Astyanax mexicanus: one gene and its partner. The protein of the gene in region 1 purifies or fractionates together with the protein of each later gene. This does not show direct contact. Links are inferred from orthologs where the notes say so. Each region holds a gene or a part of one and is shown on either strand. Other genes may lie near its edges. The genes, in order: kat14 and zzz3.

Region 1 (15,915 bases):
CACGCCTTCATCTTCTGTTCTTCTGGTATGGGTTTTCAGTGAACACTACAGGCAGAGAACTGTCTTCGTAGAAGCTACCATTACTGAATAGAGATTCAGGTCAAAAACATTCCTTAACGCTCAGTCACTGTCTCTAATTTACTTTTCAGGACCTTCCTCATGAGTGGTTTACCCATGAGGCCAAATCCTCCACAGTGTTGCAGATAGGAATCATCCTGCTGTGTGTGAGAGGTGACCCTTCAACACCAGCACAGAGATCACCTCAAAGAAGTCTCAGATCATCTCTCCACCATCTGCTCTATGACCCCTGGCTAAGTATACACCACGACACAGCCACCACATCAGTCACACCTCAGTCAGGTACCATATAAAACAATAATAATAATAATAATTTTAAAAAATCTATATTTTCAATCTCTAGTTTAGAGAGTTCTCTAGTAGAGCTGGGCGATTAATCGATTTTATCGATAAATTCGAATTTATAGTTAAGGACAATGTGTTTTTATGAAAATTGATTTTCTCTGAGTTTTCTTTTTCACCACAGACGCTCCTCTGTGGGCACAGAGTGAGCTTAGCTAGCTCCCTCCATACCTCCCTCCCTCCAGCACGCGCACCCCCCGCCCCTCCCTCACTCCCTCCCTCCCTTGCACGCACAAACACACACACACATACACAAAACACATGACGGCGAAGCTTAAGAGCAACTAGCTCCGTGATCTGGAGTTGGTTCGGTTTTGCGGCGTCGGACGTAGACCAAACAGGTCCTCGCTGTAAGGTGAACCAATTTATCACTATACCTTAAACAGAAGCATGTAGCGGAGTGGGAGAAGTGCTGCTACCATAGGAATGAACGCAGCAGCAGCACCAGTTCACCATTCAACGTTAATCAAGGAACTGTCCCTGGCACATCTTCCAACCGTGTACCAGGTTTTGTATGCACTACAAGTTAAGATGTTTTGCATATTCATGAGAAAAGATCTCATTTTATAGAACACTGGCACTTATTTAAATGCTTTGTTTTGCAATTCTAGCCCAATAGGGAAAAGTATTTACTTAAGAGCATATAAATTGTACTTGTTTTCTATTGTCTACTTTGTAAGTTTTATCAAAAAAGGGCACCATTTTATTTATTTCTATTTGTTTTTAAGGGTGTGTTTATTTATTTATTTATTTTTTAAGTTTGAGGGTGCATTGTGTCAGTACCTAAACTATGTTGGAGAAAGCTTTCTAAAAGTCACTAGATGTTCTCACTGTTTACAATAGTTTTTTTTGCTTGTTTCTGGTTGCACTTTAACCACAAATGGAACATTTTAAGTGAAAACAAATTAAATAAGAACTAGTTTTTAACCATTTCTTTATCATCTTTAGTTTGATTTTTAGTAGGGGGAAAAAATCGATTTAAATCGAGAATTGGATTTAAACAAAAAAAAATCTTAGATTTTTTTTTTCGGCCATATCGCCCAGCTCTATACTCTAGTTTAGAGGGTTTTTTTTTAATAAAACACACCTAAGGAAAATAGCAGGTATTAATAAAGCTATTGATTCCATACTTTTAAAAAGGTAATGATTTTCTTTAACTATATAAATGTTTTAATCGTTTTGTGTATTGTATGCTTTTAATTGCTTCCTGTTTTGTATTTGTGTTCATGTACTTAAGGCTTTAATCCTTTTATCTTGACATTGTTTATCTTTTGATGTTTATTAATTACTTAACTGTATTTATCTTTATGTAGTATACTGTTAGTGTTTTAATCCATACACTTTTTGTATATATTTCTTTTATTGCTTAGTTACTTGCTTTATTAATGGTTATTGTATTGATGTTTTAGTCTTATTTTGGGCTTATATTCATTAAAAACATTTTAACGTTTGTCTTTTAGTGCTTTAATCAATTAATATTGTACTTACCTTTTACTATTTTACTATTAATCTTTCTGTACTTAATTATACATTATTTTATAATAAAATTAAAGGCGGGTTTATTAATTGTATGTCTTTATACGGGATTTTATATTTGCATTGTATATATTTTTGTTTCATTTAATGTTTATGCTCTTTGTCTTTTTCAGATTTTTACATTTTTAATTTGTGTATTGACCCAAGGAGTATGGGTTCCTCTCAAGGTTTCTATCTCTCTTTCTGAGAGAATTTTCTTTGCCGCTGTCTCCTTTGTGCTTACTCAAAAGAGGTTTGGACACTTTTTTTTTTTTTTTTTTTTTTTTTTTTTTTTTTTTTTTTAACTGTTCTTAATTTTGTTTGTTTCTTAACTTTGTCAATAAATGTTTTTTTTATTGCTATCACTTGTGTCTGTTTATTTGATTACACTATCGCTAAGTTTCTTGAAATGTGTTTATGGAAAAAAAATAATTTTAATATTTTATTAAATGTGGATTTGATGCCCACATTCAACCACTTTTTAACACTTTAACTAAACACTGAAAGAATCAATCAGAAATTATTGATTTATTATTAATGTAATGAACAGAGATGTTCTGAAGTTAAAAGCTGATTATCCCATGTGTCTCATATTCCCAAATATGATAAGGTGGATAAGGTCATGTCAGCTCCAAGGACAATTTCAGTTTTGTATTTCAGTGAAAGTTATTCCTTTAATTGAATTTATATAAATAATGTATCTGGTAATATGCAAAGGCTCTCAGTGTTGTTACACCTTTTTGTTATACTTAAAACCAAAGTGTAATTTTCAACAACTCTATGTGATGTTTGACCACTTAGGAATTACACTGACATTACTTCTACAAGTCATGGGATAGTAGGTTTGAGGCTGATCATGAAGTGTTACCTCAATGTATTGGCCAGTAATTTATTATTGAAGGTTATTCATTCAAATTTATTGTGACTGGTGGTCTGCCTACAATTGTCTGTGCAACTCTGAGAAATATCTATATACAACTTTTAAAACGATTAAAGCTTTGGGATTTACATGTGCAAAATTAAGCCCTGCATACAGAAATATACTGATAACTTTCTGATGCTTTAAAAAATAAGAATCAAAGGAATCAAATTCCAAAAGATAAGCATTAGCATTTCAGAAGTACTGTCCGAGGTCAGCATACACACTAGAAGAACAGAGAAAACAAATCACAGTTCTTACAGTCTGCTTGTCTTATGAGACACTGCAGTATCCCTTTATTCATCCAATAACATAAATTATACATTAATAAAACATCTGTTTTATTAGAAATAGTTGTTCAAATTACAAATTAGCACCCACAACTCCACAGAGGTTGGAGGACCATAATTTAATATAATTATATATTTAAGTTACATGATTTTGAGCATATTACTACATTATTTTGCCTTTCAAAAAATGCCAAGTGAGCAAATCAAATCTAAAACTTTTTTTTGTTCCCCCTCTGCATGTGATACATAGAGATCAGTAACATCTTTCAGTACAAATGGTCTGTAAAAACAATATGAAATTTGAAAAGGAAAAAAATACAAGCTACAAAAAATGTAACTTTCAAAATAAATTCATGGTGATCACTTGATTATGACAGAAATGGACACCTGCTAAAACCACATACCTATCCTTTTGGTTTGAGGTAAATCTGTCTACCACAAACCAAAATATACAATTACAGTAGAGGAATCCTGCTTTAAGATATTTGGCCTCAGATGCATCAGTAGCACTTTACAATTAATTTACATTGTTTAACCATACTTATGTTAGAATGCCTCAACTAATTATTATTATGACACTAGTTAAGATATTAATTCCTACAAAATGTTAAAACTGATATCGCAATTCATCTTTGTTTACAACATTCTTAAGCATTACAATTTAGAAATGTTAAATAATATTTACCACTTAATTACCACTTAATGTTTATTACAGTCGTAAGTACTGTTATTTTTTACCCTGATTGTAAAGAGTGACAGATGCATCAGTAGCTGGGTAGAACAATATGAATATGACTGCTGTCTAAATAAATTAAAAAGGCATTTTTTTACGGCAGCCTCACGCTGACACAGGGTCCCAAGCAGTGATGTTAGTAACGCGTTACTCTAATCTGACACTTTTTTCAGTAACGAGTAATCTAACGCGTTACTATTTCCAATGCAGTAATCAGATTAAAGTTACTTATCCAAGTCACTGTACGTTACTCTCGCTCTCTCTCTCTCTCTCTCTCTCCACCTCACACACACACACACACACCGCGTTCCCTTCCCCATCCCCCTCCGCTCTCCCCCAATCACACGCGTCTCGCTTTCTCCCCTGTCTCTCTCGCGCTCGGCGTGTTTTTAGTTTCCGCCCATTCTCGTTTTTCCGCCAGTTCTCGGGCTCCCTATCTCTTTATAAAGGCGGGTTTTCCCGGCCACGTCCCAATTCACTAGCCAGGGCAGCGGTCTGCACAGATCTGATTGGCAGAGGAGAGCGTTTGAAGATTTTACACCACACGTGATTGGTCTGTGAGTTTCCCATGCCGCAGAGTGCGTATACCGTAAAGACAAGAAAAGTTCTGACGCTTTAAATGAACACTGTCAAAATTAAATCCTTCTCAGTAGTTTATCGGTTTGGGTCCGCATTGGACAACGTCTGGGTCCGGACCCGGACCGCAGTCTGCATATATGTGATCCCTGGCCTCGACCATATACACGGTTCTGTTTTATAATACCACTCCTTGCTGCCCTGCAGAGAACAACAGGTTCAATATTCAGTTTTACAGTGTTAAATATGTCAGGTCAAGAAAGACTTTCTTTATTTTATATATTTTTTTATAAAAACAAGTATTTATGTTAAGTGAAATCAAGAAAGACCATATTTTATTTTTTATTAAAAAAAAATTATTTATGTTAAGTTAATTCAAGAGAAATGGTCTTTTAATTTTATAAAAATAAATAGTTCAACTTTAAATGTCTAGAGATACATTGATGCTGTTAAAATGCTTTTTCCAATAAAGGGAGTATTGGCAAAACTGGTTATAATGTTTATGTTAAGGCGGCGGGACGTGGTGTCTGCAGCTGCTGAAAGTAACTAATAAAGTAACTTGTACAGTAACTTAGTTACTTTTAAAATCAAGTAATCCATAAAGTAACTAAGTTACTTTTTAAAGGAGTAATCAGTAATCGGATTACTTTTTCAAAGTAATTATACCATCACTGTTACTTACACACACACACCACTCACAGTGCAGGACCACACACACACACACACAGAGGACATATGAACATGTACTGTGACCTGCTGTAACACAGAGGTCAGAAGGTCAGAGCCAGAGGCCCAAATGATCCAAACAACATCCCACTTTTTCTTTACTGTAAATATTTCTAAATATTCACAGTGCAGGACCACACACACACACACACACACATACAAACATTTACACAAACATACATACACACACACATAATTTGCCAACAATTAGCTTATACTATTTTTTCAGTGCAGTGGGCGGGCACCTGGAGGACAAGTTACTGTTTTATTGGTTTATAAATTTGTTCATCGGCTGGTTTATGGCCTATTCTAATGGACAACAGCTCTCAAATAACGTTTTGTGCAACAAAACATTAGGATTCTCGAAGTGACCTGTTTTTATTTTTTAGGGAGCCCTAAAACAGCTTTAAGTTGTGCTACCCTTTCAAACCGTGCTACCATAGTGTATATTTAACTGTATAAATACAAAAGGAGCACTTTATTAGAGCATGTTCCCAGTAGAAGTCCTTGAAGATGTAGGTTACAATATTTGGATGGCATAACTCTCTGTACTGTGGCAAAGTTGTGGCAATGAGAGGACATAAAAACTGCTTTAGCTTTTCTTTTTATAATAATTGTTGATATATTTATTATTAATTTAATGTACAAGTTCGTGCAGTGATAGTTGGACAGCTTGAGTCCAGAGTCTAGTGGTTTAATGCACAAAAACTAAAAACTAATTTATTATTTAATAAAAACAAGAGAAGTAATGAAAACGTTTAGGTCAGCGCATGCGCAGTACCTTTAGGAAGCACGCATCTCTCCAGGCCAACAGGCGGCGGAGCGGCGGAGAAACCCCCGGTTAAACCCCGGTTAAATCCGGTAAAACCCCGCAGAGGAAGACCGTGTGCTGTAGTACCGCGGCTAGGCTAACCCGCTAACCGCCGCTGTCCTCAGTAATGTCCTTTAACGATGTCTACCGCCTCTAAACTGGTGCTCGGAGTCTCCGTAGTTCTGACGGTCAGCACGGTGATCGGAGTTCACCTTAAACAGAGCCAGGACCAGCAGGTAACATACACACACACACACACAGAGGACAATACAGACATACAGTGCAGTAACAACAATAATAACGCGCTACTGTAACTATAAGACACACACAGACACAAACAGCAGAATTAACCCGAGATATTTTATCCTAAAATATGTTAAATCTCTTAAATTCTCTTTAAACTGCAGCTGAGAGAGTGGCAGCCACATGATCCTGTAATCACTATACACCGATCTGCCACAACATTAACCCCACCTCTCTCTCTCTCTCTCTCTCTCTGTGTCTGTCTGTCTGTCTCTCTGTCTCTCTCTCTCTCTCTGTTTGTGTGTCTGCCTCTCTCTGTTTGTGTGTCTGCCTCTCTCTCTGTCTGTGTCTCTTTGTCTGTCTCTCTCTCCGTTTGTGTGTCTGTCTTTCTCTCCGTTTGTGTCTGTGTCTGCCTCTCCTGTCTTTGTCTCTTCGTGTGTGTGTTTGCGTGTCTGTCTCTTTGCCTGTGTCTCTGTCTCTCTCTGTGCCTCTGTCTCTCTCTGTGTCTTTCTGTCTGTCTGTGCGTGTCTCTCTGTGTCTGTCTCTCTGTGCGTGTCTCTCTGTGTCTCTTCCTCTCTATGTCTCTGTGTCTGTCTCTCTCTGTGTCTTTCTGTCTCTCTGTGCGTGTCTCTCTGTATCTCTTCCTCTCTGTGTCTGTCTGTGTGTGTGTCTCTCTGTCTCTCTATGTCTCTGTCTGTGTCTCTGCATCTGTCTCTGTGTGTGTTGCAGAAGCTGCGTGAGGGGGTGGTGAGAGATTTGGAGCGTTTGAGGAGGAAGCGTGAGAATCTGGAAGCTCTGGAGGAGCAGATAAAGCTGACCCAAAAGCTTGTACTCGAACGAGAACGACAGGAAGCCGCCAGGGGGTCCTGAGGGGCCCGTCTGAGTAGGTAGAGAAATTGCCTGTTTCTTTTAGATTTGAAAAAAGATGCAGAGCTTTCAGACCTCAAATAATGCAAAGAAAAAAGTTTATATTTATAAAGTTTTAAGAGTTCAGAAATCAATATTTGGTGGAATAACCCTGGTTTTTAATCACAGTTTTTTCATGCATCTTGGCATTATGTTCTCCACTAGTCTAACACACTGCTTTTGGATAAATTTAAGCTGCTTTACTTCTGGTGCAAAAAAAAAAAAAAAAAAAAAAGCAGTTCAGTTTGGTTTGATGGCTTGTGATTATCCATCTTCCTCTTGATTATATTCCAAGTTTTAGTTGCTAAAATAAGAGTCTTCTGTTCTTTGTTTTTTTTTCTCTCAGAAGGAGACATGGACAGTGGGGATCAGAGGAGTCTGACGGGGCAGGATGAAGATGCTTTGTGCACATCAGCCTCAGAGGGTCTGGAGGAGGGAGAGGTGGAGGGAGAGACCCTCTTGATTGTGGAATCGGAGGACCAGGCGTCCGTGGATCTGTCCCACGACCAGAGCGGTGATTCTCTGAACAGCGATGTGGGAGAGGACGGAGATGGCAGCTGGAACGAGGACATGTCCTTCTACTGCGACAAGTGCCACAAGTGGATCGCTTCTGGTGAGGGGACGGCACAGTGCCCACGAGTGATGGGGGTGGCAGGGAAGTGGCTGGCGGTTCCTTAAACCAGCCATCGGCCTCATAAACATGTACTTCACCATACATATATATCACAATACACAATATGTAGTTCACAAACTTTACATAGTTCACAAGTATGGAGTCGTGGATGTGTATACTGACCTTCTCATCTCAATAAAGTCTTTTCCTGAAAGGCAAAGTGCATGTGGTCTCAGCTCAGTCCTTGTTTTTGCTTTCTTTCCACTCGTTTCTTTTTCTCAAATAAGAAAAAGCTGAAATTTGTAAACAGTATGGCCGCCATATGCAAGTTAGTCCTTCTGAACAAAAGCCACATTCACTTCAACAGTTATATCTTTTGACTCCTTATGTTTAATTTAACTACAACTTACAGGCATATTCAGCACATGATTCTGAGGTGCCATATCAAGTTTGGCAGACATATGTGAAAAGGGGGCGGGGCTAAAGCAAAAAACTGACAAAAATCAAAGCTGCAACTTTGCATACAGAATCTACAATACTACAACCTCTAAAGCTGGACCTAAGGGCAACTTCATTAATCAAAATAAAAAAAAATGGCAGGACATCATCCTCCAATCAGCATTCAGCAGGCTTTTTATTTTTTTTTTTTTTTGGGCAGACTTCTCATTTGCCAGGATCAGTATGAAACTTAGGTGTACTGTTCAGGTGGGAATATTGCAGTGACCTGCACAGTTTTGAAACAATTTGGCCACTAGGGGCGCTACTTTAGAAAATCAAGTATATGTCATTTATACAGTAATATTTTGACATCTACTTGGTTTTGCCGTATTAAGTACCGTGTTTTTGTTTTCTTTCCACTCGTGTCTTCTGGTCGTTTAGCTCAGCTTCGAGGAGAGCAGCCCAGCTACCTGAAAGGAGACAACTTCTTCAAGTTCATCTGCTCCGACTGCTCCGACGACGGCAAGGAGAGCTTCGAGAGGATGCGGCTCACCTGGCAGCAGGTACACAGCGCGGAAGATTTCAGATTACTGTCTTTAAAGTAGGCCTGTGTCAAAAATTATGTTCTCCACTTATTGTATGATAAATGATGAACATGACCAATCACAGCTGCGGTATAGGTTTGACTAGGGGTGGGCGATATGGCGATATATATATATATATATATATATATATTATATATAATTTAGAGATAACGATACTCTTGGTGATGTGGGGAAAAATATATATATTTTAAGAATACACTCCTGCAAAAAAAAAAAAAAAAAAAAAAAAAATTGTTACTGCATATGATATGATATGGCACACCCCAAACTGAGATATTAAAAAAATACAAGAATTTGAAACAGAAGTCAATGATCCAGAATGTCATTATATTAATAATAATGCACTCCAAATATCTCCATATATCCAGGATTAAAGTAAAATAAATGATACTGGACAAATATAATCTGTCTCTAATAGATATATAATGGGAAATGAGAACGGTGTGAATTTTTTTTCTGCTAAAAACAGTAAAAAAAAAGTAGAACCCTGATGTGATAATTAGGGGTGGGTGATATGGCACCATATTTCAGGGTATAATATCGTTCACCATATTCAAAAAAGGTTGGCAATATTATTGCGTACGATGAGATATGGCACATTCCTAGGTTTGACACAGAAATATATATTGCCATTAAAGTTCCTATGCTGGAATGCTGTGTTTTTCTTTCTCCAAACATAATTCTTTACATTTAAATCATAAAGATCTGTTTTGGTCTCATCTGTCCAGAAAACATTCTTCCAATAGCCTTCTAGTTTGTCCACGGGATCTTTAGCAAACTGCAGGAGAGCAGAAATGTTTTTTTGGAGAGCAGTGGCTTTTTCCTGCCATGCACACCATTGATGTTTTGTGTTGTGTCCTAATGGTGGACACACTTAGCTTTTAACAGAATTGTAAATTAATCTACAGGTCACAAATACTTCACAAAATTCTAGAAAATCTCAGCTTCTGGACCAAAAACCTAATGGTTTCTTTTCAAAGCTCTGTCGGTCAATTCCATCATTTATGCAACAGTTTGAAAACTCATCTTTAGCAGCCAAATGTATTTTCATTACATTATATAGCAACACCATATCAACCCCCAGCAACACCTTAGCAACCAATGTATAAAAGTATCTGTACTCTCTAGTTGTGAGACTCTGATGAAGATTCTAAAGAGTTTTATGCTCATCTATGCAGGTGGTGATGCTGGCCATGTATAATCTCTCTCTAGAGGGAACAGGAAGGCAGGGCTACTTCCGGTGGAAGGAGGACATCTGTGCTTTCATCAACCGCCACTGGACCTTCTTACTGGGGACAAGGTGAGAGAAGGAACACCCAGATAATACCTAGCTTAGATTATCTGCCTGGGAAAATAGTCGGGCTCAAGAAAATAATCTGCGATTTAGGCGTCTGTTTTTTAATGCTATTTTTATTTTATATAAAGCTATCACGTGATAATCACTATATAGCAAAGTAACACATCAAACTGTGTTAAAAAAAAAGTTGCAGTGTATAGCCTTATTACAGTTTTTTTTGTGTTTTTGCACATAGACTATAAGCTCAATATAAAAGAAAATATTTGCTTGTTTAGAAAGTATTTTCTATTCTTAAACCATGTTAAATTAGATACAATATTAGATTAGAGGAAAGTCTAATCTAATTTACCAAGGTTTTAGGCATGTGGATCATTGTTTGCATTGTTTTTTATATGGTATTTTAATATTTCAAAGCTCACTTCTTAATAGACATTTTTTTCAAATAATAGGTCTGCGCTTCTTCAGTGTTGCAATGTTAAATAACATAATTCTGAAAAGATTTCGCTCATTCAAACAGCTCGAAAAATGTTTTTAAAAAGCTCAGTTTTAACGCTTTACTTGTACTCAAAAATAATGTGGGGTTTAATTCGGGCTCGGGCTCAAATTGACAGTGTATGGGTCGGGTCAGGCTCGGGCTGAGTTGGGCTGGGTTGGATTTTTTTATATTTTTATGTACTTCAAAGTTATAACAGCTTTAACTCCTCTCTGGAAGGCTGTCCACAAGGTTTAGGTGTGTGTTTATGGGAATTTTTGACCATTGCTTTGTGGGACCGTTCCCAAATTGTTCCCGCAAAGAGATGAGAGCATGAAATTGTCCAAAATCTCTTGGTCTTCTGAACTATTTAGAGTCAATTGTACTGGAACTACGGAGGCGAGGCCAAATCCTATAAAAAGAAATATAGAAATAGCCCCACACCATAATAATAATTATCCCCCCTCTACCAAACTATACACTTGGCACAGTGTAGTTAGACAAGTATCGTTCTCATGGCAAAAGCTAATCTGTGATTTATTATATATATATATATATATATATATATATATATATATATATATATATATTTATTATTATTATTATTATTATTTTATTTATTTATTTTTTTTAAACCCTTCCTCAGAAAGAAGACCTCCACTTGGTGGAGCACAGTGGCAGGGTGTCTGTCTGTGGGCAGCCCAACGTTTTTCCGTTCGGGTGCGCAGGAGTTCGGAGAGCCCGGCTGGTGGAAGCTGGTTCAAAACCGCCCTCCAACCCTTCGGCCGGATGGAGAGAAGACCCCCACTTCTGCCCTTAAAGCAAAAGGTAAAACTCTCTGCACACTAGCATGTGTCTGAGATCAAGCTCAGGTGTACTTGGGTTCTGCAGCAGGACAATGACCTGAAGCACACCTCCATTTATTTTATTTTATTTTATCAGATTTGTAACAGAAGTCAATTCTGATCCAGAATGTCATGATACTAATAACAATGCACTCCAAATATCTCCATGTATCCAGGATTAAAGTAAAATAAATTATACTGGACAGATATAATCGGTCTCTAGTAGATATATACAGCTCTGGAAAGAATAAAGAGACCGCATCAGTTTTTGGATCAGTTTCTCTGATTTTGCTATTTAGGTTTATGTTTGAGTAAAATTAACATTGTTGTTTTATTCTATAAACTACTGAAAACATGTCTCCCAAATTCTAAATAAAAATTTTTTCATTTAGAGCATTTATTTACAGAAAATGAGAAATGGCTGAAATAAAATAACAAAAAATCAGAAATCAATATTTGGTGGAATAACCCTGGTTTTTAATCAAAGATTTTTTAATGCATATTGGCATCATGTTCTTACACACTGCTTTTGGATAGCTTTATGCTGCTTTACTCCTGGTGCAAAAAATCAAGCAGTTCAGTTCAGTTTGGTTTGATGGCTTGTGATCATCCATCTTCCTCTTGATTATATTCCAATTATTTGGTAAAATCAAAGAAACTTCATTTTTAAGTCTCTCTTGTTTTTTTCCAGAGCTGTATAATGGGAAATAAGAACAGTCTGAAATAAGAACAGTCTTTTGCTAAAAAGAACGATATTTCAAAAACGTTAGCAATATTATTGCGTATGAAAGATATGGCACGCAGAGACATTTTTGGTATTGAATTTTGATACCTAACGCGTTATATTGAGGTGTGATAAATATTTATCTCATGTTTCCATCATCTCTCTCTCTCTTCAGCCGCGTCTAAGCCATGTCTGGACCCCACCATCACGGTGGAGGGCCTGCGGAAGCGAGGGGGGCGTAACCCGGTGGAGAGCGCCATGCAGCTGAAGGAGAAGCGCTCTCGGACGCAGGAGGCTAAAGACATCCGCCGTGCTCAGAAAGAGGCCGCCGGCTTCCTGGAGCACAGCGCCTCCTCCACCCCCGTCAAACTGGGGAACCGCGGGCGGAGACCGGACCTGCTGCTGGAGAAGGGGGAGGTCATAGACTTCTCCTCCATGAGTTCATCAGACAGGACCCCCCTCACGTCTCCGTCCCCATCCCCCTCGCCCGACTTCTCCGCCCCCGGCACGCCCGCCTCTCACTCGGCCACGCCCAGCCTGCTGTCTGAAGCCGACCTGATTCCTGACGTCATGCCCCCTCAGGCGCTGTTCCACGGTGAGAACCCTGCAAACCCAATCCACTTAAAAATGATGAGTTTCTTTGATTTTACCAAACTGAAAACCTCTGGAATATAATCAAGAGGAAGATGGATGATCACAAGCCATCAAACCAAACTGAACTGCTTAAAATTATGGCATAAAGTTATACAAAAGCAGTGTGTACAACTGGTGAAGGAAAACATGATGCCACGGTGCATAAAAAAACTGTGATTAAAAACCAAACTTTTTTTTTTTTTGCATTATTTATGGTCTGATAGCTCTGAATTTTTTGTTATTTCAGACATTTCTCATTTTCTGCAAATAAAAGCTCTAAATGACAATATTTTTATTTGGAATTTGGGAGAAATGTTTAAAGGCTCAAGCTACAATGTTCATTTTACTCAAACATAAACCTATAAATAGCAACTGAATAGAAACTGAAGTCGTCTCTTATTTTTTTTCCAGAGCTGTATTTGGGTTCCACATATACAGTACCAATCAAGTGTTTGGACACAACTTAAATTCAGTGTGTTTTTTTTTTTGTTTTTTTTTCCATTATTTTAAAAGTTCAACATTGTAGATTAATACCAAACTCATCCAAACTAGGAAGAAAAGCATAGTAAATAGTAAATATATAATTCATAACTTCATAAAAAATGAAAATAAGAATTTCAAGTAGTTTGAAAGTATCCTCAAGTGCAGTCACCGCAAAGACAATCAAAATCAATATGATGATAAAACTGGCACTCATCAGGACTGCTTTAGGAAAGGAAGAGCGAGAGTTTCCTCTGTTGTACAGGATAAGCTCATCAGAGTTACCAGCCCCAGAAACAAACTCAAATTAACAAACAGATAAGAGTATCTTAATGTATTTTGGTTTGTTTAAGAGTTAATAATTTCTGGTTTGAATGTTTTTGTGTATCTCTGTGCTCCAGATGATGAAGAGCTGGACACTGAGGGCGTGATCGACCCCGGCATCGAGTGTATCCCTCCTGCCACTCTGCCCTTGGCTGCAGGGACGCTGTTTGTGCGGAAGAAGCAGCAGCGGCCTGTTGAGCTCATCAAGCAGGAGCCAGAGAGTGAGGATGAGGAGCGAGCTCGAGATGCAGAGGGAGAGGAGGGCCAGGACGAAGGCCTGAGGACCCGAGTTCCTGCCGGCAGTGAGCGGAGGAAGGAAAAAGGTGGGTCTGCCAGCAGATTGTTTTTAAATTTGAATTATCAGACAAAGATAACCTGAATAAATATAAAAAAAAAGCAGTTTTTAAAATGATGATTTTATTTATTAAGGGATTTTGGAAGGTTTTGGAAGATTTTATTCATGTTTACTCAGGTTATCTTTGTCTTGTAAAAATATCAGAATGACAGAAAATGCAAAAACAAAGGAAATCTGTAGGGTGAAATTAGCGATGGGCGATTATAGCATAAACCAAAAAAAAAAAAAAACAGATTTTCGATTATAATAGATTATTTCCCCCCCCTACTAAAAATTAATCAACAGATGACAAAGAAATGGTTAAAAACTAGATTTAACTGTTAAAAATATATATATTTTTGTTCAGACGCTTTAGGTTGAGTCAACTCATTAAGTGAATCAATGATTCAATGCATTGTTAACAAGCCTATGCTCATGTTCATATCAGGTGGTGACAGACACTGGATTAAACTTCAGAATGCGGGTTTGTGATGGAACATTAAGAAATGAACATTAGTCTGTTGGAGGTAGCCAGGGTAAGATGGATAAACACTTCACAAATGAGGAGCGTTTAAAAGGATAAAATGTCTGTATTGTGACTGCGCCCCTATGGACGTGGAAGCCGTGTCCCGGCAGTCAGGAGGAAAACGGAGACAAAATTGTGAAAATCGTTCTAGTTGAAATACTTTTCCACGAGACTGTATATCTGAATTTAAATGTTATTTTATTTTATTTGGTGGAAAGACGTTTAAATATGTATATATATTTGTTGAACAGCTCTGGAGAAGGTGGAGGTGGGACCCCGCTATGCTCTGCTGGGTCTGTATGAGGAGCGCATGCTGCTGCGCAGGCTGGAGTCCTGCCCGCAGGCGCTGGCCGTGACGCCGCAGGCTAAGCGGCTGCGCTGTAAGCTCCTGGTGCGTCAGGCTAAGCGTGAGAGAGGACTCCCCCTGCTGGACGCAGACCAGGCCGTCAGCGCTGCGCTCAGTCTGGTGGGGGGCGTCTACAGCGCTCAGGCGGGCGTGGTCACCCGCGAGATCAGCAAGTACAGAACCACCAGCCAGGACCTGCGGATACTCGACCGCTTTCAGGTAAGAACACATTTATTTATGTATTTATTTATTTATTTTGTATTTATTACTGTTAGGGGTGATCCATATGGACAACAGATTATCCATGACCCTTTACACCACCACTATCTGTGTCTGTATGTATGTATATTGTTGTCAAAAGCTGCTGCAGAGAAGCAGAAATGTAATGTCCCCATACGAGGACGTCGGGTCTTAAGAGTATATATATTATTTACAGTTGGGTCCTGGAATGGTAGCAAATTTGTGTTTTTTTTGTTTTTTTTACAGGTTGCAGCTTCCAACAGAAAGGGCTTCTACCAGTCCAGCGTCTCCTTCTGGCACAGACTTATGGGCTCTGATGTTTCCATAGACCAAGGAATCAAAAGCCCTTACACATCCAGAATCCTAAAACCTTATATCAGGTATATATATACTAGTGCATCGGAAACATGATATTTCTATTCAAATCATCACTGATTGGTGGAAACTTCACACTAGACCTCGAGCAGCTTGGACTTTCTCTCCACTCTTCCTCCAGACTCGGCTCCCTTGATTTTGTTTTAAATGAAATGTAAAATTTACTGATGATCAGTGATGGTTTGGAGAGTCATGTCTGTCATCTGCTGGTGTTGATCCACTGTGTTTTATTATCAAGTCTAAAGTCAGTGCAGTTTTGTTTTCCCACAAATCTTACAGCACTTCATGCTGAACCTCTGCTCCTGACAACTTTTATGAAGCTGCAGAAGATTTCATTTTCCAGCAGGATTTGGCACACTGCCCACACTGCCAAGAAGAAGTACCAATTGGTCTTAACATATAATATTTTCATTGGCTGTGAGCCATAATCATTAATCAACAATAGAAAATAAATAAACGTTTAAAATAGATCACTCTGTATTTAATACATCTATATAATATGAGTTATATAGATTTTCAACTGA
Region 2 (15,778 bases), on another chromosome or scaffold:
TCCTGCGTTCAGAACGCTGAAGCCTACGTGCTCTTCTACAAGTAAGACCCACAAAAAATATTTTTATATTAAAGGTGTTTATCATAGTCTGTAACTTTTGAGCATTTGGTAAGAATGTGTAATGTTGCATCATGCATGTGAAAAAGTACTTTTAAAACGTGCATTGTGGTGCAGTCTCCTTTTAGAGCAAATTAATCTGGTGATTTTAGCACAGACTCGTTCTCTCACTGATATTCTCTTTGGTATTTTGTCATCTTAAGTTTTAATGCTGTGTTTCTTGAGTGCAAGTACAAGGAGTTGGTCATGCTAATATCTCTATACTCACAGTAGCTTATGTATGAGTGCTGTTAACAGTTTGAGGGTTGTTCTGGTAACTAGAAAAAACTGTGCGAATGATATATAAGGTATGGCCTGTAGGGGGAGCCCAGGAGAAAAACTGTCAATTCTCTGGTCCTCCCTGTCTGTTATTCCAACCCATTTTACCTATGTTTTAACAGTGAAATGGCTTATGATACTACCACCACCATGCTTAAAAGTAATTACAGTAGTCTTAGTCTTAAATGCCTCAACTTTAGCAACTGTGTGTTTTGACTGTGTTTGCACTTTTATGTATTACATATTCAATTTTTTTAATGCAGGACCCTTTATGCAGCCATTTAATTTATGATGATTTATGATATTTAATAAAAATAACTATTAAATGGGTGTTTCCATTAAGACTAACCTCCCCATCTCAGCCTTATTTAATTTAGTATAGTGCTCAATGCATCAAAATCATATTTTCTTCACAATAGATTTTATTCATCTATGTCTATTAGATTAAATCAGAGAACTTGGCATTACCAGTGACTGTATTATATAATGCTGTTAGATGGTGTGTGAAGTTTTTTACTCAGAATGGCAAACTGCAGGCTGACAAATGTGCTTTTGTGTAGAGCAGTGACTCACAACCACTGTTGATTGCAGCTAATAATTAGTAGAAATACAAAAAAGAAAATACTGTGGCCATGCTCTCTATGATTGCTGGTTTCTCAAGGACGGCTAATGGCCCAGCTGTTGCTGGAAGGATAATACTCAAGGTTGTAATTACAGCAGTGAACCTGAAACTCCAAATCTGCCTATTTACTAACCCTGGCCAGCAGTGGGGAGTTCAGTCCTTTATCTGGGAATGCATTTCAGGGTCACGCTGTTGGTTAAAAAGCTCTGTATAGTACTGAAACAGGAATCTTTCATTCATAATAGAAATGAAATCCCTTTTTGGAGCTATCTACTAAATAGAGCTGTACAGTATTGGGGACAAATTGACAATACATGATATTTATTGCAGATTTACAGAAGCCAGAAGAAATATAATGATATTTATAATTCACTTTGTTTCATCAAGATTTAAGTAACATTAATTAAATTGAGCAGCTCTAATCTATCTTGAGTAGATATGTCATGGGAAATGAGAACAGTGGAGAATTAGCTGTGTCCAATATTGTCAAAAAATGTGGTTTGTTTCTTAAACTGTTGGATATCACAATATTTATCTAATCGTCATTTTCTAAACTTTTTTTTTCTTTTTTAACAGGTTGCATTTGTTACTGTTTAGGACAGTTTCCGACTAATATATGCAAGTTAGCCAAACTGTTAGCCAAGTTAGCCAAGCTAGCTAAACTGCTGTATGCTCATTAAGTGAAATAAAAAGCAACATATTGTAAACTGGCTGTTTTTTCTGCTTAGTGTCCATACTTGAACTACACGAACTTATTGCTTGTGGTCTGCATTAGCCTCTTAACTCAAATTCCATTCCCCAAATGTCCCTCTTGTGTGATTGACTACATTTGACATGTTTGTTTAAAATCCTGTATTTTTGCTTTTTCACTTCAGATGCTGCTTCTGTATCTCTCAGCTTGTCAAGAAATGCATGTGTAAAGCTGTACATTTACAGAAGTTGTGTAAAAGTGACTTAAGCTTCCTGTCTGTAGGGGGAGCTCTAGAGCCCTCACATGATACGTCTTGAAGATATGCAAGCGTGTTAAATTTTCTGACCCTGTATTTTATTTTATTTTTTTGCCACAGGAAGAGCAACGAGGATGCTCAGAAGGAGAGGCGGAGGGTGACGGCGCTGCTCAACATGATGGAGCCCAGCCTGTTGCAGTTCTACATCTCGCGCCAGTGGCTCAACAAGTTCAGGACTTTCGCAGAGCCTGGTCCCATCTCCAACCACGACTTCCTGTGTGCTCATGGAGGTGAGGGAGAAGGTTGTAGAATATGTATGTGTAGGGTGTAGGCAGAGTGGTCCAGTGGGCTAAAATGCTGCCACTATGATCGGGAGATTGCTGGTTTTGAATCCCGGTCATGCAACTTGCCTTCAGCTGCTGGATTCATGAGAGAGCAAAATTGGTCTTGCTCTTTCTGGCGCTCTTTCAGCTCATCACTCCTAGGGTGATGTGGATCAGCACAAGGCGTCTGTGAGCTGATGTATCAGAACCGAGTCGCTTCATGAAACTTAAGAATTTGAAAACTTGAAAATTGTGGTCAAGCTGTGATTAGGACAAAATCCAGAAGGCCTGTAATAGCTATGAATATGTTCTGATTAATAAGTGAAATATATATATATATATATATATATATATATATATATATATATATATATATATATATATATATATATATATATATAATATTTGTTCAGCCCTGCTGAGTGTCCAAGTATTGGAGTATTCCCGGTTTCCCTGGCTACAACCCTAACCTTGACTTTAGCCGAGCCATTCACAGTTCCACATTGCAGAACGTCGCTTTCTGCCAACTGTGTGAGGGCCAGGAGGGCAAGGCCTATTCGCTTCCTCTCTGCTGATTGTGTTTACTTTCCATCTCTTCCTCTTTTCTTGTCGAGGCAGCTGAGCAGTGATTGCAGAAGGCGGTGCGTCTTTTAAAGGACGTTTCAGTGGCTTTCAGCTCCGCCTGCTCTGAATCCTACAGGGATTTGAGTCTGAGATAAAAAAGAGGAAAAGAGGCTAACAGCTAGAGCATGACCGTACATGCATGTCTTAGTTCTTTTAGGCCTCGAGTTCTTAGTCTATTTTGTTTCATACCCAGTTATACACAGTACAAATAGCAGTGAAATACTTTGACATTTGATTGGGCACATCAAATAATAAGATAATAGAGGAAAGAATACATAAAATATATAATAATGAATGAGTAAATGACGTTGTATTTATGTACAATGCTAACCACCAAGCCACTTTGCTGTACAAAATCTAAAAAAAAAAACGACATATATGGAACTTGTCGAAGCATATTTTACTCTGTACCTACACAGGTGTACCACCACATAAGGCTGCATACATCGATGATCTTGTTTTAATGCTCCCGCAAAACGTCTGGGACCACCTGTACAGCAAGTAAGTCCAAATATCTGGTTGTGGATGTTGGTGTGTTTGGCTGGAGGGAGGTCTAACCGTTGGTTCTCTGCTTTAGGTATGGAGGAGGCCCTGCTGTTAACCACTTGTACGTCTGCCACACCTGTCAGACGGAGATCGAGAAGCTGGAGAAGCGGCGGAAGAACGAGCTGGACATGTTCGTCCGGGTAACTGGAGTTTTACAGTCAAAATAAATAAAGCAAATGCAGAATTCAATTCAATGCAAACTTTATATCACCCATAATATACATTCTATTATCAAAAGTATATGCTGGCCCATCTTAATTATTGAACTCTCAGGTTCAATCACTTCCATGTCGACAGCTGTATATACCTCATCACTAGTGATGCCACAGCACAAGGAGTTGCGTGTGAACATGTGAAGTCAGACTCCGCCTATTTTTGAACTGCTGCTTATGCAGCATTGCCGAGTAGCATCACAGTGCTATACATCAGCTCACAGACGCCGCATGCTGATCCACTAGGTGTGATGTGGGGAGGGGGAGGCCGTTTGTGCTCTCTCAGGGCTCTGCCAGCGGATGTCAAGCTGCATAACCAGGTTTCGAACATGCAAGCTTCTGATCATAGTGGCTGCGATTTAGCTTGCTGAACCACTTGGCACCTCCAGTTATTATACTCCAGTCTTTTTATATATCCAACGAACACAGTAAGACCTTTTCCCGTAATAGTAATCCTTACCCGTGTAAAAAGGGGTTGTGACTTTTCCTTGGGTTTCTTCCTCCAGCTTTAGGAGCGCTTTTTATTATCACTGTCACCTTTAGCTTGATTAGTGGGAGTTTTATATTTCATGTTTTTAGGTGTTTAATCCTTTGTGACATCAGTTATACAAATGGTATACTGTACAAATGTGTGGTGCTGAGTGTTTTCTAAGAATTGGTGTGATTGCACGAGCTTGTGCACACACACACACACATAAACAAACATTTCCTCCACCCTCAATAACACCATTTTCACAAGCAAAGATCAGAAGCCCGAGTCCCCAAAACTGGGTGTCATTATTAATTCATGAGAACAGATGCACTTTCAGCTACAGCGTCTCAGAGCAGCTGAAGGGAAAAGAGAGCGCAGGCAGAGGAAATGAATTTCTGTCTTTCTTCATTACGCCTTCTTTCAGCTGCTGCGTTCCTTTCTCTCAGGCTGAAAGCTGGGCGTTCTTTACAAGAGCCAGTAAATCTTAGAGGTGTTCTGAGAGACGTGTGCTTTCCTTTTCTCTCCTTCACTGACTGACTCTCCAGCTGACTGACGATTTATTTCTTTGTTTGTGTTTCTCTGTATTGTGTGTAGCTGAATAAGGCCTTCCAGGAGGAGGAGTCTCCGGTGGTTATTTACTGCATCAGCATGCACTGGTTCAGAGAATGGGAGGCTTTTGTCAAAGGCAAAGACAATGGTAAGTAATGAACACGGCAGCACACCTCCCCCCATCAACTGTATCAAAAGCTTATTCTTATAAGCTTATAAAATGCCCTAAATATTTCTTCTACAGGCCAAAACATATGGAGAAAGCAATATTTTACTAATACAGTACATACTTTACAATTACTTTATAGATGCTTCTAGCATCTGAGTCATTTGCACTCTCTATAGTCAGATGCTAATCATCTTCAGCTAAGATTAGCATAGCATTTTGCTAATATAATAATCTAATCACGTTGTTTTTCCAGATCCGCCAGGACCAATTGACAACTCTAAGATCGCTGTGAATAAGAACGGGCACATCACCCTCAAGCAAGGTAATGTTCTTTATCAGAATTTACTTTGTCATTATTATAAAATAATAATAGCATTCGATATTACCACCATTGTAGTTCTCATTCCTAATCAGATTATGCTATGTGTCTAAATGGTTCTATACTGAGTCCTGACTAATCAAAGCACTGTTAGGCTGCTTTAAATGGTCTTTGCCTGGTTACACTGTTCTTCACTATGATACAAAGCATCTTATAGAACCTATTTAAGAATTTATGTCTTCCTTGTATAAAGGAGTTCTTTAAAGGTTTCATCACAAAAAATTAATCAGTATTTAATCAGTTCTTTGGCTAGTTGAAAAGCCTCTTGAAGGTGATATTATGTAGAACCTTGTTTGCATAAAGTTGAAAATCCTCCCACTTGCCTTTTACTTAGTTTATAACCCCGAGCTCAACCTTTTAAACCCTTTAAAACTGATTGTTCTAAAGGTCATGCTGGGAGACCAGTTTCGTTTAAACTTGTTGTTGATACTAAGCTGATTAGTGGTTCTGGACCAGTTCTGTCTTGACAGTCGAGCAGCATGGTAATTTTGATTATGCTGTTAGACCAGCTAAACCATCATACACAAATTAAAACATTGCATATGTTAGTAAAGAGTTAAGATGTTCACAACCAAACTTAATCAGCGTGATCAGCTTCAGCTGCCACGGCATTTATTTCAGCAACAGTAGAGTTTAATGAGCTAATAATTTAAAGGGACCAGATTTGCTTCTTCTTTTCACTCTAAACGTTGGTTTATTTCTCCTCCGCTGCCCCCAACAGGTGCAGATTCAGGCCAGATATCTGAGGAGACCTGGAACTTCCTCCACTCCATCCACGGAGGCGGACCAGTGGTGACAGTGCGGCCCAGCGTCAGCCACCAGGAGGTGGACAGCTCCCAGGCCGAGGAGAAGATCGAAATGGAGACACGCAGTGTGTAGCAGCTTCAACCTGCTGCCCTTTTAACAGGGGACTGGAAAACAATCTGTTATTTTGCACTTGACTCTTTCTTTTCATCTCTAAAGCATTTGAGCAAAAGATCTGACCATGCCTTGTCTCCTCCCTCCTTCACACACACACCTCCTTCACACACACACCTCCACCACAGTCTCCATTCCATATGTGAACCATTCCCTGCTGCAGAGAAGTGGAATATGTCTCAGAATAGGCTTCGTATTTGTATATACAGCACTGTCTGTCCACATTCTATTGGCACTGGTGACTAGGTTAGGCTTTAGAGGAATGGATTGGTGAAAAATCACATTTGCACATGTTCACACTTACCTTAGGTAAGGTAGTTGATCGACCAAGGCAGCTGAGGTTCACAGACTTTGCTTCTTTAGTTTAGCGCTGGAGTTATGAGGCTAACGAACACTGGAAGTCACTAGTCATCCAAATCATCATTACTGATTGCTTTTGTTTTTTAATATTGTATCCATATGTTGGTGAATTGCTTATTGTTGGCACTGATGCAGTGTGCTCAAGCTTAACCCTTATAAAATAAAATTAAATTAAATTAAATAAAATGGTTAGAGCTAGAGCTTGAAAGCTATTGTTGATACAAACAGTGAATGTTAATAGTTATCCAATTAGTTATTACTGCAGATACAGCCTGCACATGTCTGAACTCACTTAAACCATATTAATGTCATCCTTAAAATGGCACAGGCTTGTTAATGTGGTTCAGGATACAGTATGACATACTGTAAATGATAAACATATTAATAACTAGCACGTAGCTAAAGCTAGGAGAAATTCTACATGCCCCACAACCTCACACAATCCCACAGATTATGTTTGCTATTTGTATTACTATTTATATACATGTAAAGTATTTTAAAAAGTTTAAAATGGAATTCAAAAGTAATGGTTCTTTTAAAAAAAGGAACAACAGAAATCACAAACGTTCAGTTTCACAGTGAGGTTTTGTTCATATTTATAGTTCACTTTTTGTCTTATTTCACCCTAAACAACAACACAGACATGTCTACTCAGCAGTTTGCAGTTTGAGTGATTTTTGGATGACTTGGCTTTTAGTGTAAGCTAAAGAAGCAAAACTGCTAAATGTCTTGGTTGATCCACATCAACCATCATTCCACAAAGTGGAAAATGTAAAATTTTACACCAAACCGTTTCTTTAAAGGAGCGACAAGTGAAACTTTCCTCAGACACGTATAGAAAATGTGTGTAAGCTAGAATATCGCTGGAAATATGCATTCCTTTCCTACTTTTTCAATGAAAAGCACTAATCTTTCCTCTGTACAAAAAAAAAGACCCACGGGTTCAGCCAGTAGGCTAGCGAAAATATCGCTTATCGCTCCTTTGAGGTAGATCCTTGAAAAGGCGCCTTTTGGGAGCAAAACAAATGTACCGTTTTTTGTGACCAAATAGAGAATAATCTGTGAGTTGCTTAGCTGAACTTGGTGAAGAATTAAAATGCGTAGTACTGTACTCGTTGTCCGGTTTTAAAAGGAAAATGTCCGTCCTAGGGAGCGGACGTTTCACTGCTCCGCCTGAGATTGTGAAGGGATCCGAAGCGCTAAATAGTCTCAGGAAAGGACTGTGTAATTTTTTTTTTCTGTTTTGCACTGTTTCCGTAGGCCTCCAGCTCTGCATGCTCCAATACTGATGTCCGATTTCTATCTGAATGTACTCGTACTTAATGAACACAGAGTTTCTTGCATTCTATGTTATTTATTCCAGAAGGGGTAACGTGATTTACTATAATGTTTATACTTTTTTTTTTCTTTTTCTTTTTTTTCTTTTTTTATTCAGCGAGCCAAACCTGATATGAAATGCATGCTGGAACGAAAGATATGATCTGTAGGCTGAAACTCCACTTGACTTGCATGTAGATGCAGAGCTGCTCTAGAAGAACAAGGCACACATTTAATTGTATGTATAAAATAAAGAAAAATAGACATGAATCTACTACAACTGATTAAAGATTGAGGCATTAATTTATGTATATAATGGCATGATTTATTTTTTCTTTTTATTATTTTTTTGATGCTCATTGACTGGAATAGAGGACTGACATATCTGTCATTTATGAAAGCTGTATGGGAAGAATGAGTCCTACGTCTGTCACTTTTTGTTTTGGTTGGCCGAAACAAATTAAACCCAAAATTATTCAGTGAACGTGGATTTGTGGTTTCACTTATTTAATTTTTTTCAATTAAATATTCACAATTCTAGTCTGTTTAACTGATCGAATAATGCTACACTTTTAAAAGGCATTTAGGTAATTTTTTCCCATTTAAAACAAGTATCTCTGGTAGTAGATATCTCTGAGTATATGTGGTAGATTTTTAGATTACTACCTAATTTGAACACAAAGTGTCCTTTACACTGTGTCAAAATTTCTTAATAAATGGACCAATAGAAATTATCAAAAATTACTTGAAAATTCTTTTCACATTGACTTCCATTGAAGGTTAAGAAGATGTAGTAACTCCTGTAAAGTTATTGTCCTACATTAAATTAAATTTCTACAATCCATTTCTACAAGTAAATCTTACAGCACTTCATGCTTCCCTCTACTGACAACTTTTATGAAGATGTGGATTTCATTTTCCAGCAGGACTTGGAACACCACCCAGACTTTTCTGAGACACTGATCTTTGGGTTTTTATTTGGCTGTAAGCCACAATCATTAACAATAAAATAAATAAACCAATAAAATAGATCACTCTATATGTAATACGTCTATATAATATATGTGTTTCACATTTTGAACTGAATTACTTAAATAAGTAAGTAACTTTTTAATAATATTTACATTTTTGGGAACATCTAAAACCATCTAACTACTGTATCTACAAAGACAATCTGGGTTTTTGTGGGATGGATGTACCATTCTCTCTGTCTTTCCCCCACACACACACACGCTTTCTCTCCCTCCCTCTCTCTCCCCCACACACACTCATACACACACTTCAGTTCAGTGGAGAAAAACATGGCAGCTGCCGACTGTGCAGCAGACGCTTTGCGGAAGTGAGGTAAGTAGCTAGCTACAATTCTCCTGCTTGAGAAACCGATTTGTTTTCCAAATAATTCGCTTTCAAAAGTGTTCCCAAGCTTTTCGTGTGCGTCTTTTAAAAGCTTACATTCTATAAAATAAGTGAGCATAGTATGAAAAGCAGAATGATGGTTTGAACAGGAGAGGAGAGAAAGTTAAAACCATCGAATCGGGCGCTTTAGCTTAGCTGAAGTTGGAATTTAGTAGTTCCACCTTAAATGGTGCAGCAGTTCGATTGAGGCACCCGTGCGCTGTAATATTAACTGCTGCACCATTTAAGGTGGAACGGCGCTATTCCAACTTTAGCTAAGCTAAGCGACGGTAAGGCTATGTACAACACGTAGGCCCTTATGTTTAAAAAAACAAACCTAAATACACACATTTATATCAACGTATTCATATAATTTAACACTAATTAAACTATACTTTATAACAAACACCTCTTTTAAACGTTAGTAGGCTATATAAATTATGTAGCTAACGTTATCTAAAAAATACAGTTAGCTTAGCTAACTAGCTATGTTAGCTAATTTAGCAACCCGTGTAACCGCTTGCTTTGCGGTGTTATGCTATCTTAGCTAGCTTTAGCTAACGCTAACTAACACCAAAGTAAGTTAGTGGCTTTTCTTCTGTTTTTATTTTATTTATTATTTTATTATTATTTAACATTAACTTGGCTCAGTTTTCCCTTGCACCATTGAAACCGTCCCCCAAAATGTTCGGGCACGTAAGTCAAATTTGTGCTTAGCGAGTTAGCTAGAAAACCTTCCAAGCCCTGGTGTTCTGTCGAGTTATGCTACCTATCGATACGTGCTTCTTTACGGCACTGCGCATGCGTTAAACAAAATTTTTTTTTATAATGTTTTCATGTCAATTCCTTAAGTTTTTATTAGTAGCATTAAACAACATGATTGAATGATTGTAAAAAACAATAATAATAACCTGTAAATAGCAGTTAGAAAATAGCAATGGAAAGGTTAAGAATAAATAATTAACTAGAAAACTATGAAAAATGATTTGAACTAAAAGTTTTAACTTTACCTGATGAAGTGATTGATCTGCATATCATACCTAGGCTTCTGCTGGGAGTATTTTCTAATATGTTTTCTGATATGGTGTTTTACCTTTTTAAACATGAAATACTACTAGGGTAGCACTGTGTGACAAGGTAGCACAACTCGACAGAACACCAGGTCTTTAATTCAAGCTAGCGTGCTAGCACGGTTGCCCGGCTACCTACCAAGGAGCGGCTCAGAGACCCGCGGCCCACGGATAGCGCCGCTCTGTCGGCTTGAGGGGTTGTGTGTGAGCCGCTGTAGCTAGCTGATGTTAGCTAGTTAGAGGAGCGGATAACTAAAAGGGGCACGTTTCTTGGGCTAGGTTCGTTAGTTATCTAGTTATCTATCAAACTACATGATAAAGCGTTTTTTAATCTGTTTGTCTAATACCAAATCTTAAATCTTTTCGCTAAATCACGAATTCGAGTTCTCCTGGTAGCAACCACGAGTACACCAAAGTATAAGCTCCGGAGCCGGCGAGCGGTTACCACGCAAACCCGCGGCTCCAGTACAGCGCAGGCCAGGCCAGGAGGCGGCGGGGAAAAAGTGCCAACAGTGCGGCTGATTTAACGTTACATTAATCGTAAACAGTGTTGAAAAAGGTGAGTTGGGATGTGTATCAGTTCAGTTTTGGGACTCTTTAGGGCTAAATTGAGGCTAATTTCGATCATATAAGATGCACAATATTGTGTAAAACTTAATTTATATTTTGTACATTTATTATAGGGACCCCCTGAGAAACTAATCTCGTTTGGATAGGGCTTATTTTGGATACTTACACCTGTTTAATTTTATCGTACTTCTCTTTCACATTTCTTCTTTAATTTTTGTTTAAGTATTTAATATATTTTAGTAACGTTATCTGTTTGTTTCAAAGAGTGATGTGTAAACACAGCACAGCACTGACTGACCAGAGAGAATAGTCACTGCACAACGCAGTGCAGACATATAACTCAAGCTACTGTTGCAGTTATGTTTGTTTTTTATCTGACGCACAATGTGCGCTTGCAAAATTATGCTATCATATGATTAAATAATCTAGAGAGCTGTGATGACACCTGCTAAATTTTGTTACACTGGTTGTTCTCCTGTTTGTGTGTTAGAGCAGTTTTTCGCCTCCAAAACAGAACCACCTTGAACTAGGGCTATAAATGAAAGTGACTTGATTAGGAATACAAGCAGAATGCTTACGTAAGTTCTTCAGACCCACAGTCCAATCAATTTAAAAATGCACATTGAAATTGGACATAAAACTAGCAATAAAAATTGATTATCATCAGGTCTTATTTTAAAATGGGGAATGTAGTTACTCTTTCTGCACCCTTTTTTTTCAAACTAGATTTTAATATAATCAATGCTATAAAAATATGGCTAGGTTAGGCACAACTATGCTAATTGGAACTGGCGGCCTTGTCATTCCTTTTAAATGATGTTGGGGAGGGGGTGAAAGTATAGCATTGTAAATGTCTTGATGCATTAAAACAATTTTGCATGTTAATGAAACCCTACCTCTTGATCTCATGTACTTGTCATCCAATAGTGGTTCAGCTCATTAAAAAACAACGATTAAAAAAAAAACATGACCAAAAATAATTACGTTACCTTACATCAGTGCTGATAAGTGACTAACGACCCATATACTGATTTGAATCTGCTGTAGGCTGAATATATGTAAAGGTGTTGCTGTTTGGTGGTGTCAGACTTATTTTTGCAACTTAACTTAGAGGAAGGTATTTTATGTATACCGTATGTATACCACAAGTCAAAAGTTTTAGAACACCTCCAGTGTTCTCTGTAGTCCACTGGCAGCAGTCTTTCTTATTTTGCCATTTTGTTAAAATTACATTAGCCAATATAGCGTTTACTTTCATGCTACCTAATATAGCTGCATCTCCTGTCAGAAGTTTTCACTTCACTGCTGAAACTGAGGGCATTTTAACACCAGCGATTCTTAGTTAAACTGTACTCTGGTTTGTTTTCACCCTTGGTGCAATTTGTTTAGGCAGGTGTGAATACGATAATCACATTCAGCTGCAGACCAAAATAACCACACCTATTCCCTTAAAAAGAGGTGGTCTCAGTCTGGTCCCAAATAAACCTTGGAACAGTTTGTTTGTGGTGAAAGAGGCTCCAACTTCGATCCAACCCAACTATCAAATGTACTTTACAAGTTTGAGTTTTGATAATTTGGTCTAACCAAAAAGCAGACAGAACTATTATTCTAGTGTGAAACCAAACCAAGGGGAAACATGCTTATTAACTGATTTAGACCAGAGAAACCAAATGACTGTAAAATGTCATCCTGGACCAGACATACTTAAGATACGTTTCCAATTTAGAACCACATAAGAAAGCGGCTCAGATCTGATTTGGGAAAAATATGATTTGGCATGTTCACACAGCCATTAAAAAATCTGATTTGAGCCACATTGAGCTAAAAATCAGATATGAGTCACTTCCGTCTGGCAATGTGAATGTAACCTAAAAGCAATCTGCTTTGTCACGTGTTGTGTGAATGTGATGGTGCCATATTAATAATAGTAAAATAATTATCAGTACATTGAGTATCACAGTATAACACTTTAAACTCTTACTTTACTGTTTCTTTAGTTTTTTTCTTTTTTTTCAGTATAACGAATCATAACCTCTGTATTGTGATTAAATAAATAGTTAAATAAATATGTGTAATAACATGAGGTTCAATATATATAATTATAAAACGCCTGAATTATTATACATTAAAGCAGATCTTCAAGAAGCACAAGTGAAAATAACGTTCGGATGATCATGTCTTTGATGATGTTAATTGTTGCTTCTGGAAATTTTAGTAAGTAACAGCTGTTGTATCTGTGATGAGGGCTGGAGTTCACAACGGATTACATTGTACCTTGTGCACCATTGCTTTTAATCTGTGCATTACACCTGATGCACGTGTCAAAACTTAAATCACTGCTAATGGGACGCTCATGCGTGAACCTGTAATCCCACTGGATGAATGGATAAATGGATGGGTTGAGTAGAACCCAAAGACGTGTTAAGTGAACACACTCTTTACTGAAAGGGCAAAACAGAGTGTGGTGTTTAACTTTACATACGTAGTAATTGAAAATTAGCTTCATCAAACCCACAAGAGAGTCTTTAAACCCGCGCTTGACACTGCTGCTCCCGCTGGCTTCTGTCTTTCTTATGCATGGTCAAATCACATTAGCTTCTCTGCAGGAGTCTTCAGCCGAGTGTGAAAGGAATACATATACAGTTCTGTCCAGGTGCCTCCTTTTTCAAGGCCGTGAAGCAAGATGAATATGTCTGCTCCTCGTGGCTGAATAAGCAGAGGCTGGTATGAATGAACAGGCGGATATTTGATGTGTTCTGACAAGCGCAAAGGGCACAGCGGATCTCTCCGATAGACGTTAATCAGTGCGAAATATTAAATCATGTAGGCTGAGTGACAATTAGGCTGGAGTTTGCGGATTTTATGCGGATTTAGTGTTAAGTCTTTGTAGCAAGTCATGCAGCACAGAGTAACTGAGTAGCTTTACATCTGTAGTTCTTAAACAGAACTGTTTAACTGTGTCAAAAAAAAAAAAATTACTCTGCTAGATTTTTCAACGTAGGCCAAATATTTCTAAACAAACTTGTAAATGGAGGACTATAGCCATATCCGGATGAGACTAGTTTCTCAGGGGGTCCTGGGTAATTTTCTTTTTATTCCATTTTGGAACGGCCATGTACGTGTTTTTTTTTTTTCCAGACGTCCTCTGAGAAAATTACATGCTGAATTATCTACTGTTTTTCTCTGAACTCTGTGGTCCTCCGGTAATTTTATTCCTGTCCGGATCCACATCTCTGCATTTCATCAGCTTGCGTTTAATAAAAAAACTGGAGGAGCTACTGAACGTGATGTCATGTGACGGAGAAAGCCAAAAATCTTGTTATTCCTCCTTTTTTTTTAATTGCAGTCCAGGATTTAGGAGTTTTATCACTGTGAAATATTTTCTAAATATATAAGAAACTAATCCCGTCCAGATAGAGATTTAGATGAAGTTTGTGCTACTGCTTGGTTCATCAAATAAATGTATAGTGTTTAAGTGTGCTTTAGTTGCAGTTTAGCTCCACTAGTGTATACTTTAACTCCTGAAGTGTTATTTCTGAAACAATGATTAGCCAGTTAATATAATTGTGCTGCTGCTGCTGCTGTAGTTTTAAAATCTGTTTTTAACATGTATCTAATGGTAGCCTAACTTCATAAACATTTTTATTTTCTGTTGAGTCAGCAGTGTTTCTCTGATGGACTGTTTGATTTTCAGAGCTAGTAAGCTGGTACTAAAAAGAGCACCTGAGAGGCTCTGATAACAGCCCATTTGGAGTCTTAGTAACACTAGAGCATGATGTGCTTTAGCGTTTTCAGACAGATAAGAGCTGAGAATGAGAAAAGCAGTTAAATTCGACTGTTATCTGAAGATACTTGCTGACAGACTTGAGTCTTGTATGCTGGTTCTGTGTTTAAAAGGAGATGTTCTATGTATATCTTCTCACTGTTTGCATTAATGCTTTTAGAATCATAGATGATGATTAGGCAGGTTGATTTTACTTAAAGTAGAAAGTCGGCACCTAAAGTTCTTCCTGGTATAGCAGTATGTACTGTGTTTAGGGGAAATGGAAGAGTTGAGGGAAAGGTCAAGCGTCTACAGATGCAGTAGTACAGTGTAAATGATATCAGCTCTGCGAAAACATGCTAGATAACACCAATGGTTTCCAAAAGTGGTTCCCAACCCTGGTCATGAACCTAGGTTCCCTGCCCTGCACATTTTAGTGCTTACCCTGCTCCCAACTCATCTGATCCAGCTCATTAGTTTAAGAAGCCCTTGAGCTGAAGGAAACCACCATGTTACTAGCAGTGTAGAGTGCTGAAAAGTGAAACAGGAATTGTGTTTGAAACATAGTATGAAACCTGCCTTGCTTCAGGTTCAGAATCAGCATGTAGTAACCTAATTCTAATTCCTATTTATTCCTGTGTAGCAGGATGACTCACTGCTTCCACAAGACAATTAAAGCTACAAAAAAACAAGTTATTTAGATGCAGATTAATTACGTTAGACACTCTGGAGAAGATCACAGTAATAATAGCTATATTACCCATTTTCTTTGCTTTTTTGTTGTCTGCAGTGAGGAGTTTACTGAGAGTAGCGTGTCATCTTGACATTGGCCCAAGTTGTCCTGTTTGTTGACGGCTGCTATCAATAACCAATGTCATCATATACTGAGCCCTGTCCCCTCTCTCTCTTTCTCTCTTTCATTCTCTCTCTGTTTCTCCCTCCTCCCTCTCTCAGGTGCCCACATTCTGCCGCAGAGGAGAGCACCACGATGAGGAGAAATCAGTAGGCACCCTCCATAGTATGGCCGCGTCCCGCTCTTCGCGCGTCACAAGATCATCAGTGGGGTTAAATGGATTGGACGAGAACTTTTGTGGCCGAACCCTCAGGAACCGTAGCATCGCCCAGCCGGAGGAGACATCGCCGCCTCCCAGAGCTCGATCGCCCAAA

Evidence for each region.
Region 2: the proteins of kat14 (region 1) and zzz3 purify together in Homo sapiens (affinity purification with mass spectrometry; 4 studies listed by BioGRID and IntAct, with this or other methods). This does not show direct contact. The link is inferred for Astyanax mexicanus from reciprocal best matches to the Homo sapiens genes KAT14 and ZZZ3.

The regions. Positions count from the first base shown.
Region 1 is NC_064430.1:23,798,560-23,814,474, reverse strand, and holds the start of kat14 (cysteine-rich protein 2-binding protein), read left to right. Parts: upstream 1-7,493; coding exon 7,494-7,752; exon of another isoform or gene 7,753-7,972; intron 7,973-8,631; coding exon 8,632-8,753; intron 8,754-9,973; coding exon 9,974-10,095; intron 10,096-11,210; coding exon 11,211-11,392; intron 11,393-12,308; coding exon 12,309-12,728; intron 12,729-13,647; coding exon 13,648-13,893; intron 13,894-14,681; coding exon 14,682-14,995; intron 14,996-15,262; coding exon 15,263-15,396; intron 15,397-15,915. Other genes in the region: protein PET117 homolog, mitochondrial, read left to right, coding at 6,131-6,226, 6,963-7,103. UniProt on the Homo sapiens protein: Component of the ATAC complex, a complex with histone acetyltransferase activity on histones H3 and H4. May function as a scaffold for the ATAC complex to promote ATAC complex stability. Has also weak histone acetyltransferase activity toward histone H4.
Region 2 is NC_064415.1:55,920,791-55,936,568, forward strand, and holds the start of zzz3 (ZZ-type zinc finger-containing protein 3), read left to right. Parts: upstream 1-9,052; 5' UTR 9,053-9,157; intron 9,158-10,521; exon of another isoform or gene 10,522-10,837; intron 10,838-15,565; 5' UTR 15,566-15,631; coding exon 15,632-15,778. Other genes in the region: usp33 (ubiquitin carboxyl-terminal hydrolase 33), read left to right, coding at 1-41, 2,065-2,234, 3,311-3,392, 3,469-3,577, 4,716-4,818, 5,093-5,161, 5,940-6,097.